Elephas maximus indicus: one gene and its partner. The protein of the gene in region 1 interacts with the protein of each later gene in a pairwise test. Links are inferred from orthologs where the notes say so. Each region holds a gene or a part of one and is shown in the gene's direction. Other genes may lie near its edges.

Region 1 (9,044 bases):
TTAAATAAGAAAAGCGAGGGTTTATAAGGAAAGATATAAAGGGAGATGAGAAAATGTTCCAGGAAAGAGCAAATAAAATTAATAAAAGGAGAGGAGGTAGGGAAAGAAATTTGGAAACAGTCTAAAAGATTGTCTTCGATCAACCAAAACCTAACCCATTGCCACTGAGTCGATTTGGACTCATAGCAACCTTGTAGGACAGAGTAGAATTGCCCGATAGGGTTTCTAAGGCTATAACCTTCACAGAAGCAGACTGCCATATCTTTCTCCCATGGAGTGGCTGGTGGATTTGAACCACTTACCTTTCAGTTAGCAGCCAAGTACTTTAATCAGTACATCACCAGGGCTCCTTTATTGATCAATAAAGGTGGGAAATTATATAGACCTTAGGTGTATAAATCACAGCGTTAAAGTGAGCGCTCATAAGGTCACCAAATCTTACAATATTAAAAAGTATCTTTAATACAAAGAAAGTAATTTTTTATTAGTTTTTCATGTTAGCACTGTTTTTCATGGTAGTACATATTCGAAGGTCTTAGAACTCAGAGAATTACCTTGTAGCAAATACAATTTAAATGCAAAATCAAAGATTGCAAATACATAGCATGTACGTCACCATTTCCCTTTTGTACCCATGGCAGATATTATTAATGGATCAAGCAACTATTACCAATTAAACTAGGTAGATGCATCCCCAGAATCCTTTTCAGCACAGTGCTACAGAAAGTTACTACTAATTAGCCACAGATGAAACCCTTTTGCTACCTATGGCTTAGCCTTACTACTTAACAGTGTGATCTACACATCACCAGCATGGACGTCCTGCAGAATGCAGAATCTCTGCCTCATTCCATACCTGCTGAAGCAGAATCTGAATTGTAATAACATCCCCAGTGATTCACACAGACATTAAGGCTTAAGAAGCCCAGGGAGTGCATGATATATATTCATTACGGCAGAAGTTCTCAAACTTTAGTATGCATCAGAATCACCAGGTTAAACACTCATTGAAGCACAGATTGCTGGCCCCACCCTCAGGTTTTAACTCTCTAGGTCTGGGGTAAAAGGAGTCCTGGTGGCGCAATGGTTAACAGCTCAACTGCTAATGAAAGGTTGGCAGCTGGAACCCACCCAGTAGCTCTGCAGGAGAAAGACTTGGTAACCTATTCTCATAAAGATTTAAGACAAGAAAATCCTGTGGGGCAGTTCTGCTGTGTCACGTGGGGTTGCTATGAGTCAAAATTGACTCCAGGACACCAAACAACAACAATCTTTATAGATTGCCAGGTCTTTCTCCTGCAGAGCCACTAGGTGGGTTACAATTTCCAACTGCCAGCTTTTTGGTTAGGAGCTCTCACAGTTTAGGAGGCCAGAAGCCGAAATGGAGGGCACCAGCTTCAGGGGAAGGCTGTGTCTCTCTGTCAGCTCTGGGGGAAGGTCCTTGTCATCAATCTTCCCCTGGTCTAGGAGCTTCTAAGCTCAAGGACCCTCGGTCCAAGCGACATGCTGTACTCCTGGCTCTTCTTTCTTGGTGGTTTGAGGTCCCCCTGTCTCTCTGTTCCCTTGTCTCTTTTATATCTCAAAAGAGATTGACTCAATATACAACTTAATCCTGTAGATTGTGCCCTGCCTCATTAATATAACTGCCTCTAATCCTGCCTTAATAACATCATAGAGGTTAGGATTTACAACATATGGGATAATTACATCAAATTACAAAATGGAGAACAACCTCACAATATTGGGAATCAAACTGACACACATTTTTGGGGGACACAATTCAATCCATAACATTCCATCCTTTGACCCCCCCGCCCCCAAAATTCATGACCTTGCCACATGTAAAACACATTCATCCCATCATATTATCCCTAAGTCTTAAATCAACTCCAAGTCCAAATTCCATCCTGGGGTAAAATTCCTCTTCACCTGTGAAGTCTAGAATACAGGTTATCTACTTCCAAAGTTCAATGGTAGAATAGGCACAAGGTAGACATTTCCATTATAAATGGTAGAAATTGGGAGGAAAAAAGGGATAACAGGTACCAAGCAAGTTCAAAACCCAGCAGAACACATTAAATTACCTGTCAAGGCTTGAAAATAATCCTCTTCTCTAGGATCATTTAGGCAATGGCTCTGCCCTTCAGGCTCTGGGTAATGGCTCTTTGTCCCTGGGCTTCAGCTCTGCCTTCCAGGCCCACTTGGACAGAAACTCTGCTTCCTCAGATTTGGGCAGCTCCTTGCAGTCCAACTTCTGCCCCTTGGGCATGGCAGCCCTACCCCCTCAGCTTTGAACAGTAGTTCTGGCCCCATTTCCCTGGCATTCATGAACTGCAGCCCCATGCTCCAGAACCAAATTGGTGATGATCTGACTCTTTGAAACCTAGGAGACCATGGCACCATTCTTTGAGACCCCAAAAGGTCATGGCCCTACCCTTTGAGACTGAGGTACCTCTGCTTCCCATGCTCCTTATCTCTTTAGCTTCTGCTTCTTGGTTCCTTAGCTTCTCAGCCCCTTGCCCCTTCAGGTTGGCCTGGCCTCTGCCCTGCTCTGGCAAGTGTTACAATGTTCTTTAGCTCTACAGATAAGTACCTGGAGGCACCCCAGTCCACCAGCTAGCCTCCTGCCTCTAGGCGCTCAGCTTTCTTGCTCCATGGGTTGGCTCCTGTGCTAATACCAGTCTCCTGGTTCTGCTGCCACTGTTTCTCTGCTGCTTCTTCTTGCTGTCTTTGCCATTCCCGGTGTTACAGCTCTCCTCACTTCCATCTGAGCCCTCACCAGAATTATCTTTGATGTCCATAATTCCACCAATAATCTCTTCAGGGCAATCGAGGCTTTTGATATTAGGGCTTTAAAACTCTTCCATCCTTTACCCATCACCCAATTATAAAGCTGCTTCCACGTTTTAGGTATCTGTTAGAGCAACACCCCACTCTTGGTACCAGATTCTTTCTTAATTATCTAGTGTTGCTATAACAGAAATACCACAAGTGGATGGCTTTAACAATAGGCAAACACTTAACCATTGCCCCACCAGGACACCTCCCATAAAGATTATAGAAAACCCTATGGGTCAGTTCTACTCTGTCACGTGGACTCACTATGAGTTGAAAATTGACTGGATGACACCTAACAACAACAAAAGGAGCCCTGCTGGTACAGTGGTTAAGCTCTCAGCTGCTAACCAAAAGGTCAGTGGTTCAAACCTACCAGCCACTCTGTTGGAGAAAGATGTGGCAGTCTGCTTCTGTAAAGATTACAGCTGTGGAAAATGGCAATGAATTCAACAAAAACAGGTCTGGAGTAGGGCTTTTCTAGCAAGTTTCCAAATGCTGCTGCTGCTGGTCAGCCAGGGACCAGGCTTTGAGAACCACTGAATTAGGAGCAAGGGAATGCTTTGAAATCTCTCCTTGACGTTTAGAAGCTGAAGTGTTGAAGACAGCAATATCTTTCCCTAACTCTTGGGACATCTGTCAGAGCCAGAATTCTGGGCAGGAGAGTCCCCAGATTTAATATAATGAGATACTTCTTATGACTTTTTGGTCCTGAATCTAAAAGACAACTACCCTTGTTCAGAACAGGTGCCGGCATCATTCATTCACTCAGTAACAATTTGGGTAGCTATTCTGTTCACAGCATTATACTCCAGGCTTGGAGAATCTAAAGAGAGTTAAGGCCCAGTCCCTAACTTCCAGAGGCTTATTCTTTAATTAAGAAGAAAACAAAGAAACAAATGAAACAGTAAATAACAAGAGTTAAATAAAGCAAGACAATAGTTCAGGAAGTGGCATCTAATGGCAAGGGGCAGAGTGTTAAATCAGTGACAGAAATCACGTGTGATTTAACTTCAGAGGGAGAAAGGATACCTGAGACAAAAAAACCAAATCAAACCCATTGCCGTCAAGTTGATTCCAACTCATAGTGACCCTATTAGACAGGGTAGAACTGCCCCATAGGATTTCCAAGACTGTAATCTCTATGGAAGCTGACTGCCATATCTTACTCCCATGGAGTGGCTGATGGGGTCAGACCCCCAACTTTTTGGTTATCAGCAAGGGCTTGACCACTGTGCCACCAGGGCTCCAGCTTATACACAGGGCTGCACATTCCAGCCTAGCTAGAGTATAAAGTTTGTACACAGCATGGGTGGGAGGTAAGGTGGCAGAGGGAGCAAGCCAGGGTAAGAAGGCAACTTCTCATTTCTTGATGCTGCAGAGGTTGTTTTACACTTTGAAGTTTCCTATGGTGTGGATAATTATAAATCAATACTATCAACATTGTAGAGTCCTGGTGGCACAGTGGTTAAGAGCTTGGCTGCTAACCAAAAGGTCAGCAGTTGTAATCCGTCAGCTGCTCCTTGGAAACCCTATGGGGCAGTTCTGCTCTGTCCTGTATGGTTGCTATGAGTTGGAATTAACTCAGTGGTACACAACGGCAACAATATATTGCCAGGCATGAGTGCTAAAAGGGAGCTTAAGTGGCCCCGTGGTTGAGAGACTGGCTGCTAACCAAAAGGTTGGCAGTTTGAATCCACCAGCCACTCCTTGGAAACCCTATGGGGCAGTTTTCTGCTTGGAGGGCAATGGGTTTGGGTTTGTTTTTGATGCTAAAAGACTGCCATGTGTACTATCTCATTTAATCCAAACAACTGCACATGCACTCAAACCTCCACCTAACTACATGTGAAAACCAGAGCTTTATAAGAATGCATATAAGGTTAAAAGAACGTGTCCAATTCAAATCCAGGCAGTTCTACGGGGGTGGGGAAGTCGGGGGGGCGGGTAGGTGAATCTGGAGGGCTCTGGCCTGCCTGAATTACTCAGTTCCTTTCCAGTTTTCACATATTTTGACTCAGCAAGGAACCCAGAGCTACCAAGACTGAGACTAGGGGAGAAATCCTAAGGTGCATTAAAGCCGGGGAACCTGTGGGGCCCGTGCGTCCGAAGCGCGGACAGGGAGGGGCTCCGACATGAAACGCAGCCTGGTTTAGCTAGAGCCTGCTAGGGCCATTGAGCCTTCTCCTGGCTTCCTCAGGCCACTGTAATTACAGAGTCTGTGGTAGGTTGTGAGGAGGAGTTGTCTGGGGACGGGAGGCTTCTCTGGGTATTGTATTTGCCTATAAATACTTCAAATAGTTAAGTGAAATGTGCAGCCTTTGAAAGCTGGAGAGGAAGCTATTGGGAGGCCCCCCGGCCCGCCTGGAAGAGCAGGCAGAAAAGAGGCGAAACGGCTGGCGCGTCCTTTACGCGGGAGACAAGGCGAGGCCCTACCCAGGCCAGATGGGGGGCAGCGAGGCTGCTGGCGTTACTCCGGAAGCCTCTAACCGTTACGATGACCTGAGCAATTTGAAAAAGGCAAACACACTTCCTCGGAGCGGTACCCGCAGGGCCCCAAGGCGGGCGTTTGCGTTCGAAAGGGCATTTTTCAAAATAAGGCTCCAGGGAAGTGGGGGTGTCGGCCCGCCGGGAAGCGCGCCGCCGGAGCAGCGCCGCAGAGCAGCCACCAGCCTGCTTTGTACTTGAGGCCAAGCGCGGCCCCAGAGTTTCGGCGGCGACCCCAGAGTTGAGGCCACGCCCCCTTTGCAGAGAGAGCTGCGGCCGATGATTGGCTCACCGCCGACCAATAGGCGCGCCGGGGCGGCCCGGGCTGTCAGCGCGCGCTGCAGCCGCGCCGGCCGCGACTTGTCCTCCCCTGCGCGGAGCCTCGCAGCCAGCGCAACCTTCCCGGGAAGCGCGGCGGCCGCTCGCGAGTGCAGCCCTACCCAGCCCGCCAGCCGCGCGTCCCTGTGCCCGCGCCCCACTGCCACAACCTCGCTGCGCTATAGCGCACCGAGCATGTGCAGACCCGCAGGCACTAAGGTGCTATCTGTCCTGGGGGCTTCTGGGCAGTGGTGACCGACTGTCAAGCCAAGAGAGACCTTTCCGGAGCTGTCGCCGCGCCTCTGCATCGCGGTGACACTGCGGTGCTCGTGAGCGGGGCGGCAGCTACCTTTTGGTGGAGACGTCTTGGGCTCGGTGCGCCTTTTTTCTCTCCTTCCTCCGCTACTCGCTCCTTCCCTCGCCCGCTTACACCCGCAGCCTCCTGGAGCGGGAGGCGTGCGTCCTCGCCGCTTTCTCCCTTCCAAAGGGACCTCCTCAATTCGGAGATGCAGTGACAAGATAATATGGGCGTTCAAGCCTCGGTTTCCCAGGAGGAAAATTGCAAGAGGCAGCAGCCTCCTAGCACCCTGAGCTCTTGAGCGGCTTGTCCAGGAAGGGCGTGAGACTCCGCTGCAGCATCGGTCCAAGTGGGGTCCGTTGAGCGCAGTCACTAGTCCCGGGCTCTCATCCCGGCACCCCGAAGGCACGCTCGCCGGCCCCTTCCGAGTTCCCGATCCGGGGCTTTTTTATTCCGCCGCTGGTAGTGGGCGCCTCGCGGGCCGAGGCCCGGCGCCTGCTCTGCTGCCCGCGCTGCCTTTAGCGGTCGCCTCCGCCGCCGCTGCCAGGGACGTGCTGGGAAAACCGAAGCCCCGGGAGAAGATGCCGGCCATCCTGGTCGCCTCCAAAATGAAGTCGGGACTTCCCAAACCGGTGCACAGCGCCGCACCCATCCTGCACGTGCCCCCGGCCAGGGCCGGCCCCCAGCCCTGCTACCTCAAGTTGGGAAGCAAGGTGGAGGTGAGCAAGACCGCCTACCCTAGCCAGATTCCCCTGAAATCGCAGGGGCTGCAAGAGCCGGCGGGGGAGGGGCTCCCTCTGCGGAAAAGCGGTTCCGTGGAAAACGGGTTCGATACCCAGGTGAGAGGCGCTGCGTGCCGCAGCACTTATCTGGGAGGGTGGGTTAATACTTTGGGGGTGGGGTGGGTGGATGGTACAGCTTGATGGGGAAAAGGGCTACCCTGTGGGTCGGGAGGGGAACCGTTTTCCTTAGGCCGGCAGGTTTGGGATGCACGAGAAGAGTGGCCCGGCCGGTGGGTGTGGCCCTGGTGCTCAAGGTTTGCCTAAGGAGATCCGTGAGACCCGCGGTGTGGCCACGCCTGCGGCTTCCTTCTGGTGGGCACTGCCGGGGTGTTCTCAAGAAACGTGTACCTCACTGGAAATGTCAGGTCCTATATGTTTGTAGGCTTGGTTCCAAGAAGGCAGAGTGTGTGTGTGTGTGTGTGTGTGTGTGTGTGTGTGTGTGTGTGTGTGTGTGTGTGTGTGTGTGTGTGTGTGTGTGTGTGTGTGTGTGTGTGTGTGTGTGTGTGTGTGTGTGTGTGTGTGTGTGTGTGTGTGTGTGTGTGTGTGTGTGTGTGTGTGTGTGTGTGTGTGTGTGTGTGTGTGTGTGTGTGTGTGTGTGTGTGTGTGTGTGTGTGTGTGTGTGTGTGTGTGTGTGTGTGTGTGTGTGTGTGTGTGTGTGTGTGTGTGTGTGTGTGTGTGTGTGTGTCGTTCTGTCTGTCTGTCGGTTCCGCAGAGGTTTTGTCCCTGTCAATGAATGGTCTGAGACCCGGTGGCTTGCCCTTTTCCCGTTGGGCTCAACGCCCTAACCACCGTTCCCCGCCCCCCCCCCCACCTCCACCTGGCTGCAAGATTCAGGAAAGAGGGCCTGGTGGGGGCGGGGGGGACCTTCCCACTTGGCTTGAAGGTGGCCTGCCCCTGCCTGTCCTAGGGCTGACAGAATTCCGGGCACGGTGCTGGGGCTGCAGTATGAGTGCCCAGTGCACCCACCAGCTGAGACAGGCAGCTGGAGACTCCTAGCTTCTTGGCTGGCTGTGGGGGTAGGGGTGGCCGCCATTCTTAGGCAGCTTAGCCCCTCCTTCCTGGGTGGTAGATCCTGGGGCTGGTAGCCAGGATGGCTGCGGGCAGGGGTGGGGACATGGTTTGAAGGGAGATGGTGACTTCTATCTTACGAGACAGAGCCCGCATCACCCAGTTCGGCCGGGTGACAGACTCTGGCCAGGCAGTCTCTTTTAAGGAAATCAGCAAGAGCCAATCCGGTTCTCTTGGCCTCCTGCCCTCCCCACTGCTTTTTTTCGCTGTTCTAGTAGGAGGGAGTGAGGGCATGTTGCGTTTTCTTGGCAGTCGGTCAACAGGGACTTTTGGGGACAGGCAAACCTGACGGATGTGACTGTCCCCGGTCAGGAGAGGCGGGAAAGCCAGAGGGGGAGGTGGTTTGGGGCTGGTGTCAGGGTAGTGGCAACAGACCAGCTGACCTTTTTGGCGTGCTGACACTGTCTCCACCTTCTCCTGGAGATTTCCCTGATCAGAGGCTAGAGCTCAACACATTCCTAGCCTTGCTGGTGGAGGGACTGGAGCTGGAGGCTAATTGTAAGCAGACTTCTGGAACTCTGGGCTGGAGAAGGCCCTCAAAGCAGATTAAGCTCCCACATCAGGCTGATAAGCAAGCCCCTTGCTGCTACACTTGCTAAACATTTTTGGAAACTGACAGGTTTGAGTGATGGCGTGTGGGAGGAAGGCAAGATTTCCTCCAATGCTCCTGGGGTCTGTCTCTACCAGGATTGTGTGCTCTGCTCTCTTTTTCTGTTGTGAGCCACAGGACTTGTCCAGTGGATTCTGAAATGGGGATGAGCACTGGGGTGCACTGCTACTGGAGGGTTCCCCTTCATCCTTGGAGGTGGGGTTTATGAGGTGTGGTAGGTGGTGTATGCGAGGCCAGAATGGTGACTCAGGATGTGACACACACCCTCGAGCTGATGAGAAGGATCCGAGGAACGAGAGGGAAAGTAGAGGCCAAGATTGTTCCTTTCCAGACAGCTGTTCTACCCTTTGCCCATTTGACCCTTCATTTAACAAACATTATCAGAGGACATGCAGTGGGCAGGCTCTGGAAAGGTGATTCATCACTGTCTCCCCTGAAAAATGTTCTCCAGCTTCCCCCTGAGGGGCTGGCATGATGCTGTTCCTTCCTTCACCCTTGGCCCACAATTCCCAGAATTACCGCAGTTCCGTGTCTCTTGCCCTCAGTGGATCCTTGTGCACTGACCACAGGGACAGTCTGGATGGACCCCTGCGGGTCCCAGTGTTCTATCCTGGTTTTTGCCTACCTGTCAGTGGGACTTGTCCAG
Region 2 (8,823 bases), on another chromosome or scaffold:
TTCTTTCACCATACCTATTTAGTGTACATGCTGAGCAAATAATCTGAGAAGCTGGACTATATGCAGAAGAACGGGGCATCAGGATTGGAAGAAGACTCCTTAGCAACTTGCATTATGCAGATGACACAACCTTGCTTGCTGAAAGTGAAAAGGACTTGAAGCACTTACTAATGAAGAGCAAAGACCACAGCCTTCAGTATGGATTGCACCTCAACATAAAACAAAAATCTTCACAACTGGACCAATAAACTGCATCATGATAAACAGAGAAAAGACTGAAGTTGTCAAGGATTTCATTTTACTTGGATCCACAAGCAACAGCCATGGAAGCAGCAGTCAAGAAATCAAAAGACACCTGGTATTGGGCAAATCTGCTGCAAAAGACCCCTTTAAAGTGTTGAAAAGCAAAGATGTCACCTTGAAGACTAAGGTGCGCCTGACCCAAGCCATGGTATTTTCAATCGCATCATACGCGTGTGAAAGCTGGACAATGAATAAGGAAGATTGAAGAAGAATTGATGCCTTTGAGTTGTGGTGTTGGAGAATATCGAATATACCATGGACTGCCAAAAGAATGAACAAATCTCTCTTGGAAAAAGTACAACCAGAATGCTCCTTAGAAGCACGGATGGCGAGACTATGTCTTACATACTTTGGACACTTTGTCAGGAGGGATCAGTCCCTGGAGAAGGACATCATGCTTGGTAAAGTACAGGGTCAGCAGAAAAGAGGAAGACCCCCAAGGAAATGGATTGACACAGTGGCTACAACAATGGGCTCAAACATAACCATGATAGTATGGATGGCACAGGACCAGGCAGTGTTTTGTTCTGCGGTACACAGGGTTGCTATGAGTCGGAACTGACTCGATGGCATCTAACAACAACAACAATCAACGCCCATGGAAGCAGCAGTCAAGAAATCAAATAATGTATTGCATTGGGCAAATCTGCTGCAAAAGACCTCTTTAAAGTGTTAAAAAGCAAAGATGTCACCTTGAGGACTAAGGTGTGTCTTACCCAATGCATGGTACCTTCAATCATCTCATATGCATGTGAAGACTGGACAATGAATAAGGAAGACTGAAGAATTGACGTATTTGAATTATGGCGTTAGCAAAGAGTTTTGAATATACCAGGGACTACTAGAAGAAGGAACAAATACGTCTTGGAAGAAGTACAACCAGAATGCTCCTTAGAAGCAAGTATAGTGAGACTTTGTCTCGCTTACTTTGGACAGGTTATCAGAAGGGAATAGTCCCTGGAGGACATCATGCTTGGTACAGGGTCATTGAAAAAGAAGAAGGCTTCAAGGAAATGGACTGACACAGTAGCTGCAACGACAGGCTTAAACCTAGCAACAATTGTGAGGATGGTGAAAGACTGGGCAGTGTTTCGTTCTGTTGTGCATGGGGTCGCTATGAATTGGAACCAACCAATGGCACCTAACAACAACAGTACCCTTTGAGCTAGCAATACCATTTCTAAGAATTTATTCTAAAGAACTAATTAGACAATGTGATAAATTAAAGATGGCAGGAAATCCTTGGTTTTCTTCCCATTGAGAGTTGGGGTCTAATTCCCCCGGGATCTCGTTGGTCCAATTCTTTGTTTGATAATAGAATGTAGAGGATGCAATGTCTTGGGACTTCCTAGGCAAGGTCGTAAGAGTTTTGAAGCTTCTATGAGGGTCTCTTGGAACTCTGGAAACCCTGAATGGTCATGTTAGAAGTCCTATCGCCTGACTTGGCTATGCCAGAGAGGCTGTGTGCAGGCGCTCTGGTTCACAGTCCCAGTTGGACCAGCCTTCCAGCCTTCTCTGTCATGTCACAGAGAACAGAAGAATCACCCTGCTGAGCCACGCTGGAACTCCTCATAACACTGAAACAGAATGGTGGTTCCAACCACCAAGTTTTCAGGTAGTCTGTTATAAAGCAATACGTGACTGGAGCCGACAAATACATACAGCTGTGGTACATAATGTTCACTGGGGCACTGCTTATGAAAAACTGGAAACACAACATTGTTCATTGATCAGGAGTGTGCAAAATAAAGTATGGTCCACCAACAGCATTGAATATACCTAGCAAACAGGACGAGGTAGAATTGAGTAAGGCTTGGGGACACTTGTTCATGTCAGAGTGGTAAACCAACCAAGCCCAGTGCCGTCGAGTTGGTTCTGACTGATAGCGACCCTATAGGACAGGGTAGAACCACTCCATAGAGTTTCCAAGGAGCGCCTGGTAGATTCGAACTGCTGACCCTTTGGTTCGGAGCCGTAGCACTTAACCACTACACCACCAGGTCTTCTGTCAGAGTAGTAAGTTATAAATTTAAGTAGGAGAGAAGCAGCTGTGTACAATCATGTTTCTGTTGAAAATGCACACCTGTGTGTGTGTGCTTCCTCATCCAGTATTAAATGGGTCCACAAAGGATTCACTCTGAACTGCTAACACCTGGAGTAAAAAAGGCAAACAAAACAATCACAGTCCTGTGCCCTCAAGTGGGGAAACTTTTATAAGTTCTTATATGGTTTGAACTTTCATAAGAGTGTAAAATTGGCAAAAACAACATGTTTCTATTTTTCAGTATTTGCCCGTGGCTTGGAGGATGGTTAACAAAGGGGAATGTAGCTCTAAAATTATGCTTTATCCATCCCGTCTGGAGCAAAGGAGAGTGAAGAAAACCAAAGATGTGTGGGAAATGTTACTCCAAAGGACCAATGGACCACAAGTACCATAGCTTTCACCAGCCTGAACCCAGAACAACTAGATGATGCCCGGTTACCACCACTGACCCCTCTGACAGGGATCACAGTAGGGGGCCCCAGACAGAGTAGGAGAAAAATGTAGAACAAAATTCAAATTCACACACACAGACACACACAGACACACACAGACACAAAGACCAGGCTTACTGGTCTGACAGAGACTGGAGGAACCCTGAGACTATGGCCCCCAGACACTCTTTTAACTCAGATACAGGTGTATAAAATAAAATAATAGCACACGTGAGAATGTGCTTCTTAGCTGAATCATGTAAATGAGACCAAATGGGCAACACCTGCCCAAATGCTGCGCAAGAAGGCAGGGACAGGAAAAGGAGAGGAATGGACACGGGGCACCTGGGGTGGAGAAGGGGAGAGCGTTAACACCTCGTGGGGACTGCAACCAATGTCACAAAACAATTTGTGCATAAATTGTTCAATGAGAAATCAATTTGCTATGTAAACTCACTTAACCAAAATCCAAACCTGTTGTCGTTGAGTCGATTCTGACTCACAGCGATCTTACAGGACAGGGTACAACTGCCCTATGGTGTTTCCAAGAAGCAGCTGGTGGGTTCGAACTGCCAACCTTTTGGTTAGCAGCCTGAGCTCTCATCCATTGTACCAAAAATAAATAAAAAAATGCTTTAAGTAATGGAATTTGCATTGGTCAGGTTGTGGTGACTTGAACAGCCAACAACTGTAAGACAGGGCTTTACACTAGTTAGTTTGGGTTCACGCTCCTGCTGAGAATTTGCATTTCCACGCCCCCATAAACTGAATCAGAATCTACATTTTAATAAGACCCCCAGCTGATTTTTATGTATAATAAATTTTTAGAACCACTGCTCTACCAGTGGTTCTCAGAATCGGTCCCTAACCAGCGGCGTTATTCGCATTGCCTAGAAAAGAGAAGGAACCAGTTGGAAGCCCTGTGCTGTCATCTTGGCTCCACAGTGATGAGGGCTGGGGGATGCCGCCTTGCCGCCAGCTCTCCCATCCAGTGGTCACCTTTCCCCGGAGCCTGCAGGCATTCTCTACCTCTGGCCAATCTGAGTGAGGAGAGCTTACACCAGCAGGCAGGCCATGCAGGGCTTCTCTCATGGTGTTTGGCCCCCAGTCGGTTGGGCAGCCCAACTGAGGCGGTCTGCGTGCGGCCAGAAAGAGGAGAAACGTGGAACCTGGTGAGCAGCAACCAGGATGACAGCACAAAGCGCAGACACAGAAAAGCAGCACCCTGAACCCAACCTCTCAGGGCATTTTCATTGTCTCTCAGGGTCTTGACACGTGCTTCCGCTTCACTTCTGTGCAGCGTTCTACCCGGTTAACCTTGTATCCCATTGTTACATGGCGCCTGGTGTGCCCCAGGCGCGCGCAGCGCGGGTCGCAGGGCTCCTCTCCAGTGACCGGCAGCGGTAGGGGAAAGCGAATCCACCGATTGGATGCCCTGGGGTGGGCGCTATTGGCAGCGGAGGGGTCAGGAAGGGCCTGGCCGAGGCAATGTTGTGGTGGGGGGTGAAGGTCAGCGGGGAGCCAATGGGGACACATGCGCCGTCGGCCTCCCAGGGATACGAAGCTGGACGCCTGCACGCTGCCGGCTGGGGGCCACGCAGAGCCCAGGCTGGGCTGCGGTGAGCGCCGCGGCTTCTGATGGATTCTGACGACAAGCCGTGATGGGAGCCGTGAGGCGAGGACGGAGGGACCGAGCGCGGGCTCACTGAGCCCCGAGCGCGGATGGCGAGGACAGAGCCGGGCTCACTGAAGCCCGAGCGCGGACGCCAAGGACGGGGGACGGAGCCGGGCTGAACCCCGAGGGCGAACGGCGCGGACAGGGGGACGGAGCGCGGACTCACTGAGCCCCGAGCGCAGACGGCGAGGACGGAGCGCGGGCTCACTGAACCCCCAGCGCGGACGGCGAGGACGGAGCGCGGGCTCACTGAGTCCCGAGAGCGGACAGCGAGGACGCACGTGCAGCCTCCGAGGTGGCTCCGAACGCACCCCTGTCCCCGCGCCCTTCCTGTCCGTGGTCCGGCGTCCCCCTGACCCCAGGCCCCCCACCCTCGTCCCCGCGTCCCCCTGACCCCAGGCCCCCCACCCTCGTCCCCGCGTCCCCCTGACCCCAGGGCCCCCACCCTCGTCCCCGCGTCCCCCTGACCCCAGGGCCCCCACCCTCGTCCCCGCGTCCCCCTGACCCCAGGCCCCGCACCCTCGTCCCCGCGTCCCCCTGACCCCAGGGCCCCCACCCTCGTCCCCGCGTCCCCCTGACCCCAGGCCCCCCACCCTCGTCCCCCTGACCCCAGGCCCCCACCCTCGTCCCCGCGTCCCCCTGACCCCAGGGCCCCCACCCTCGTCCCCGCGTCCCCCTGACCCCAGGCCCCGCACCCTCGTCCCCGCGTCCCCCTGACCCCAGGCCCCCCACCCTCGTCCCCCTGACCCCAGGCCCCCACCCTCGTCCCCGCGTCCCCCTGACCCCAGGGCCCCCACCCTCGTCCCCGCGTCCCCCTGACCCCAGGGCCCCCACCCTCGTCCCCGCGTCCCCCTGACCCCAGGGCCCCCACCCTCGTCCCCGCGTCCCCCTGACCCCAGGGCCCCCACCCTTGTCCCCGGGTCCCCCTGACCCCAGGCCCCCACCCTCGTCCCCCGACCCAGGTCCCCCCGCCCCGCGCCTCCCCGCAGACATCAGCACACGCTCGCTCCGCTGGGCGGAAGCCGAGGGGCGGGCTCCGGGTCCGTCCCGCCCCTCCGCCGGCGCCCGCCAATCAGCGCGCGGCCTTATGAATAGTGAAGCACGGCGCGCCCCGCCCCCTCACGCCGGCACCGCCCGCCCGCGCAGAGCCGAGCGCGGCGCGGAGAAGATGGCGACCGCCATGTACTTGGAGCACTACCTGGACAGTAAGCGCGCGGCCGGCCGCCCCGGCCCGCCCCGCCATCTGGCGCCGTCGCCGCCCAGTTCCCCCGCACGGCGGGCCTTGCGCGGCGGGCGGCGGGGGTTCCCGTGAGGGCGGCCGGGGCGGTGGGGGCGCCGGGCACGCGCGGGGGCGGGGCGCGGGGAGGGCGGGCGGCCGGGTCCGCGCGAATTCCAGGTGCGTCACGGCGGGCGGGGCGGGGCCGGCGTGAGGGGCGGGGCCGGACCGTGGGGCGGGGCCTCAATGCCGGGGCCGGGCGGGCAGGAGGGGGCTCGGATGACGGGGCGGGGCCTGAATACCCGGGGCCGGGCGGGGCCTGGGCGGCGGGGCGGGGGATGAGTAGTGGGGCCAGGTGGGCGTGGCGGGGTCTGGATGGGGGACGGGGCGAGATGGGCGGGGCCTGAATAGCTGGTAGGGTGGGCGTGGCGGGGGCTGGATGAAGGGGCGGGGCATGAATAGTGGGGCCAGGTGGGCGTGGCGGGGTCTGGATGGGGGACGGGGCGAGATGGGCGGGGCCTGAATAGCTGGTAGGGTGGGCGTGGCGGGGGCTGGATGAAGGGGCGGGGCATGAATAGTGGGGCCAGGTGGGCGTGGTGGGGTCTGGATGGAGAGGCGGGGCATGAATAGTGGGGCCAGGTGGGCGTGGCGGGGTCTGGATGGAGGGGCGGGGCATGAATAGTGGGGCCAGGTGGGCGTGGCGGGGTCTGGATGGAGGGGCGGGGCATGAATAGTGGGGCCAGGTGGGCGTGGCGGGGTCTGGATGGAGGGGCGGGGCATGAATAGTGGGGCCAGGTGGGCGTGGCGGGGTCTGGATGGAGGGGCAGGGCAAGATGGGCGGGGCCTGATAAGGGGAAGGTGGGTGGTGTGGGGTCTGAATAGAGGGGCTAGGTAAGGTGAACAGGGCCTGAACAGTGGGTCCATTTTGGGTTCTGGAGGACTGGACGAAAATTGGATGACTAGGTGGGTTCTGCCGGATGGGCGCGGCCTTATGACACAGTGGAGTCTCGTGGGTGGAGCCGGGCCAGATGCTTCTGGGTCCTGTTCTTGTTCCGTGGGCAGGGCTGAGCAGGGCCAGGGCCAGTGGTGGTCGGTGGTACAGTGGAGCAGACCAGGCCTGCGGGGCCCCGGGTCTGAGTTGTGTCCCTATGTGTCCTGGGACCTGCGGCCCCCTTGACAGCGCCCAGTCTCAGTTTCTGCATCGGCACAATGGGGATAGGGACGCTGGTTTGGTGAGTTGTATCGGTTCCCTTTCTTTATTAAGTTGCACGTGGTTCCACGATCAGAATGCTCTCATGCCTTACTGAGCTTGGTAAAGTGGTAAGAATCACGACGGGTGTCCTAATGTGCGATGCGTGCCGAGTCTCCCAATGCTTGGCTGCCTTTTGTCTGCATTACACGAAGCAACAGACTTCTCGCGGAAGTATCCCCATTTTGCAGTTGAGGAAACTGAGGCTCAGAGAGGGTGGTCACTTGCACAAGGTCCCACAGCAAGCTGAGTGGCAGAACCCATGTTTGAATTTAGTGACTATGGGGCAGGTGATTTCCTTGGGGCTGGGTGGGGGCTGAGCTGGCCAGTCTTTCAGGTGGTCTGGTAAGACCATCTCCTTTGGGAGTGCTGCCCTGGGGACTCTGACAGCCTCGCTGGCCTGGGGACTTGGGAGCCCTACTGAGCTTGCTCAGAGGAGTCAGTGAGCCATGTGCCCCTAACTGGCAACAGTGGGAATGCCCAATCCACACTGTTCATTCTGCTCCCTGGTGGCGCAGTGGTTAAGAGCTCGGCTGCCAACCAAAAGGTTGCCAGTTCAAAACCACCAGCTGCTCCTTAAAAAACCCTATGGGGCCCTTCTTGTCTGTTCTTTAGGGTAGCTATGAGTCGTAAACGACTCAACAGCAATGGGTTTTTCTTCTGCCCCCTGAGCAGTGGGAGTCCCCATGTGGGAGAGACAGAATGGGGAGCATGGTGACGGGATGCTTTTACCCTGTCATCACTAAAGACAGTGGAGCCAGTGAGCAGAGCCGGCCATGGCCCAGGAGCAGCCTGGCGTCTGAAGGGGAGCATGGTGTCCTCCTCTGTATCCCGGTCCTGCCCAGTGGGTACAGCAGGTACTCAGAGGGCTTGGGGACACGTGTGCCTCCCCTGCGTGGGTACAGGGACAGTTGCCCCTGTTCCCCTCCTGGGCACCATGGTGCGCTGTGCCAGGTGGGGGCCGGGAAGCCCTGAAAACAGACATGGCCTTGTGCTCCTGGAACTTCTCCCACATGGGTAGGACGGGGCTTTAAAATTCGCAGAACCTACAAGGCTACAGGGAACCAGCAGGTGGGAGAGTATGGTGTGGTGGCCCGTCCTGCAGTGTGGAGCTCAGGAGCCTGGGTCGTTGGACAGACTGGTGTGGTGGGAACAGAGGGTGGGATGTAGGGGCATGTTTAGGGAGGATGTGGAGGGGGATATGTAGGTCTGTGGGGGCACTGTGGGAGCAGAGAGGCTGGGGTGGAGGGGGATGTGTAGCGGGGCGTGGAGGGGGACACGTCGGGGGACACGTGGGGGGATGTATATGGGAATGCATAGGCCTGTGGGGGCACAGTGGGAGCAGAGAGGCTGGGGCAGAGGGGGATGCGTCGGGGGGCACACAGGCTGGTGGGCACGCTGGCCCAAAAGCTGAAGAGTGGGGTCCTCTGACCTGCGTGGTCTAGTATTGTAGCCCCCAGCCTCAAGAACCATCTAACCTTAATTATCATTAAGTAAACCTAACGCTTCATTTCCCCAGTGCACTAGCCACATTTTAAGTGCTCAGTAGCTGCTGTGCCAGGCAGTTCAGAGAGAGCATTCCCTCCTTGTAGGAATTCTCTTGGCAGTGGTGGTCTGCACCTGCCTATGCCCAGGGTCTCAGGAAAGTGAAGGGCATATCACGGAGCATGCCGGGTCAGGGGGCGACAGCAGGTCGGGGGGCAACGGCAGGTCCGGGGGCGACGGCCAGGTCCAGGGGTGATGGCAGGTCCATGGGCTGTGATGGGTTTGGCCAATGGGCTGTCTTCCTTGCCCTGCTTTCAACTCGTATCTGCGTCACTGCTAACTTCTCTATTTCTGACAAGTGTCAGCCTCTGCCAGCAGTGTTTGGTGCCTGTTCCTGAAAAAGAGATTTTCATCCTTCTC

Evidence for each region.
Region 2: the proteins of NAV2 (region 1) and ING5 interact in binary tests that used the Homo sapiens proteins (3 or more experiments, as listed by UniProt). The two-hybrid records come from large-scale screens. The link is inferred for Elephas maximus indicus from reciprocal best matches to the Homo sapiens genes NAV2 and ING5.

Annotation. Positions count from the first base shown.
Region 1 is NC_064825.1:74,992,821-75,001,864, forward strand, and holds the start of NAV2 (neuron navigator 2), read left to right. Parts: upstream 1-5,694; 5' UTR 5,695-6,519; coding exon 6,520-6,777; intron 6,778-9,044. UniProt on the Homo sapiens protein: Possesses 3' to 5' helicase activity and exonuclease activity. Involved in neuronal development, specifically in the development of different sensory organs.
Region 2 is NC_064824.1:143,513,734-143,522,556, forward strand, and holds the start of ING5 (inhibitor of growth protein 5), read left to right. Parts: upstream 1-5,589; 5' UTR 5,590-5,621; coding exon 5,622-5,658; intron 5,659-8,823. UniProt on the Homo sapiens protein: Component of the HBO1 complex, which specifically mediates acetylation of histone H3 at 'Lys-14' (H3K14ac) and, to a lower extent, acetylation of histone H4. Component of the MOZ/MORF complex which has a histone H3 acetyltransferase activity.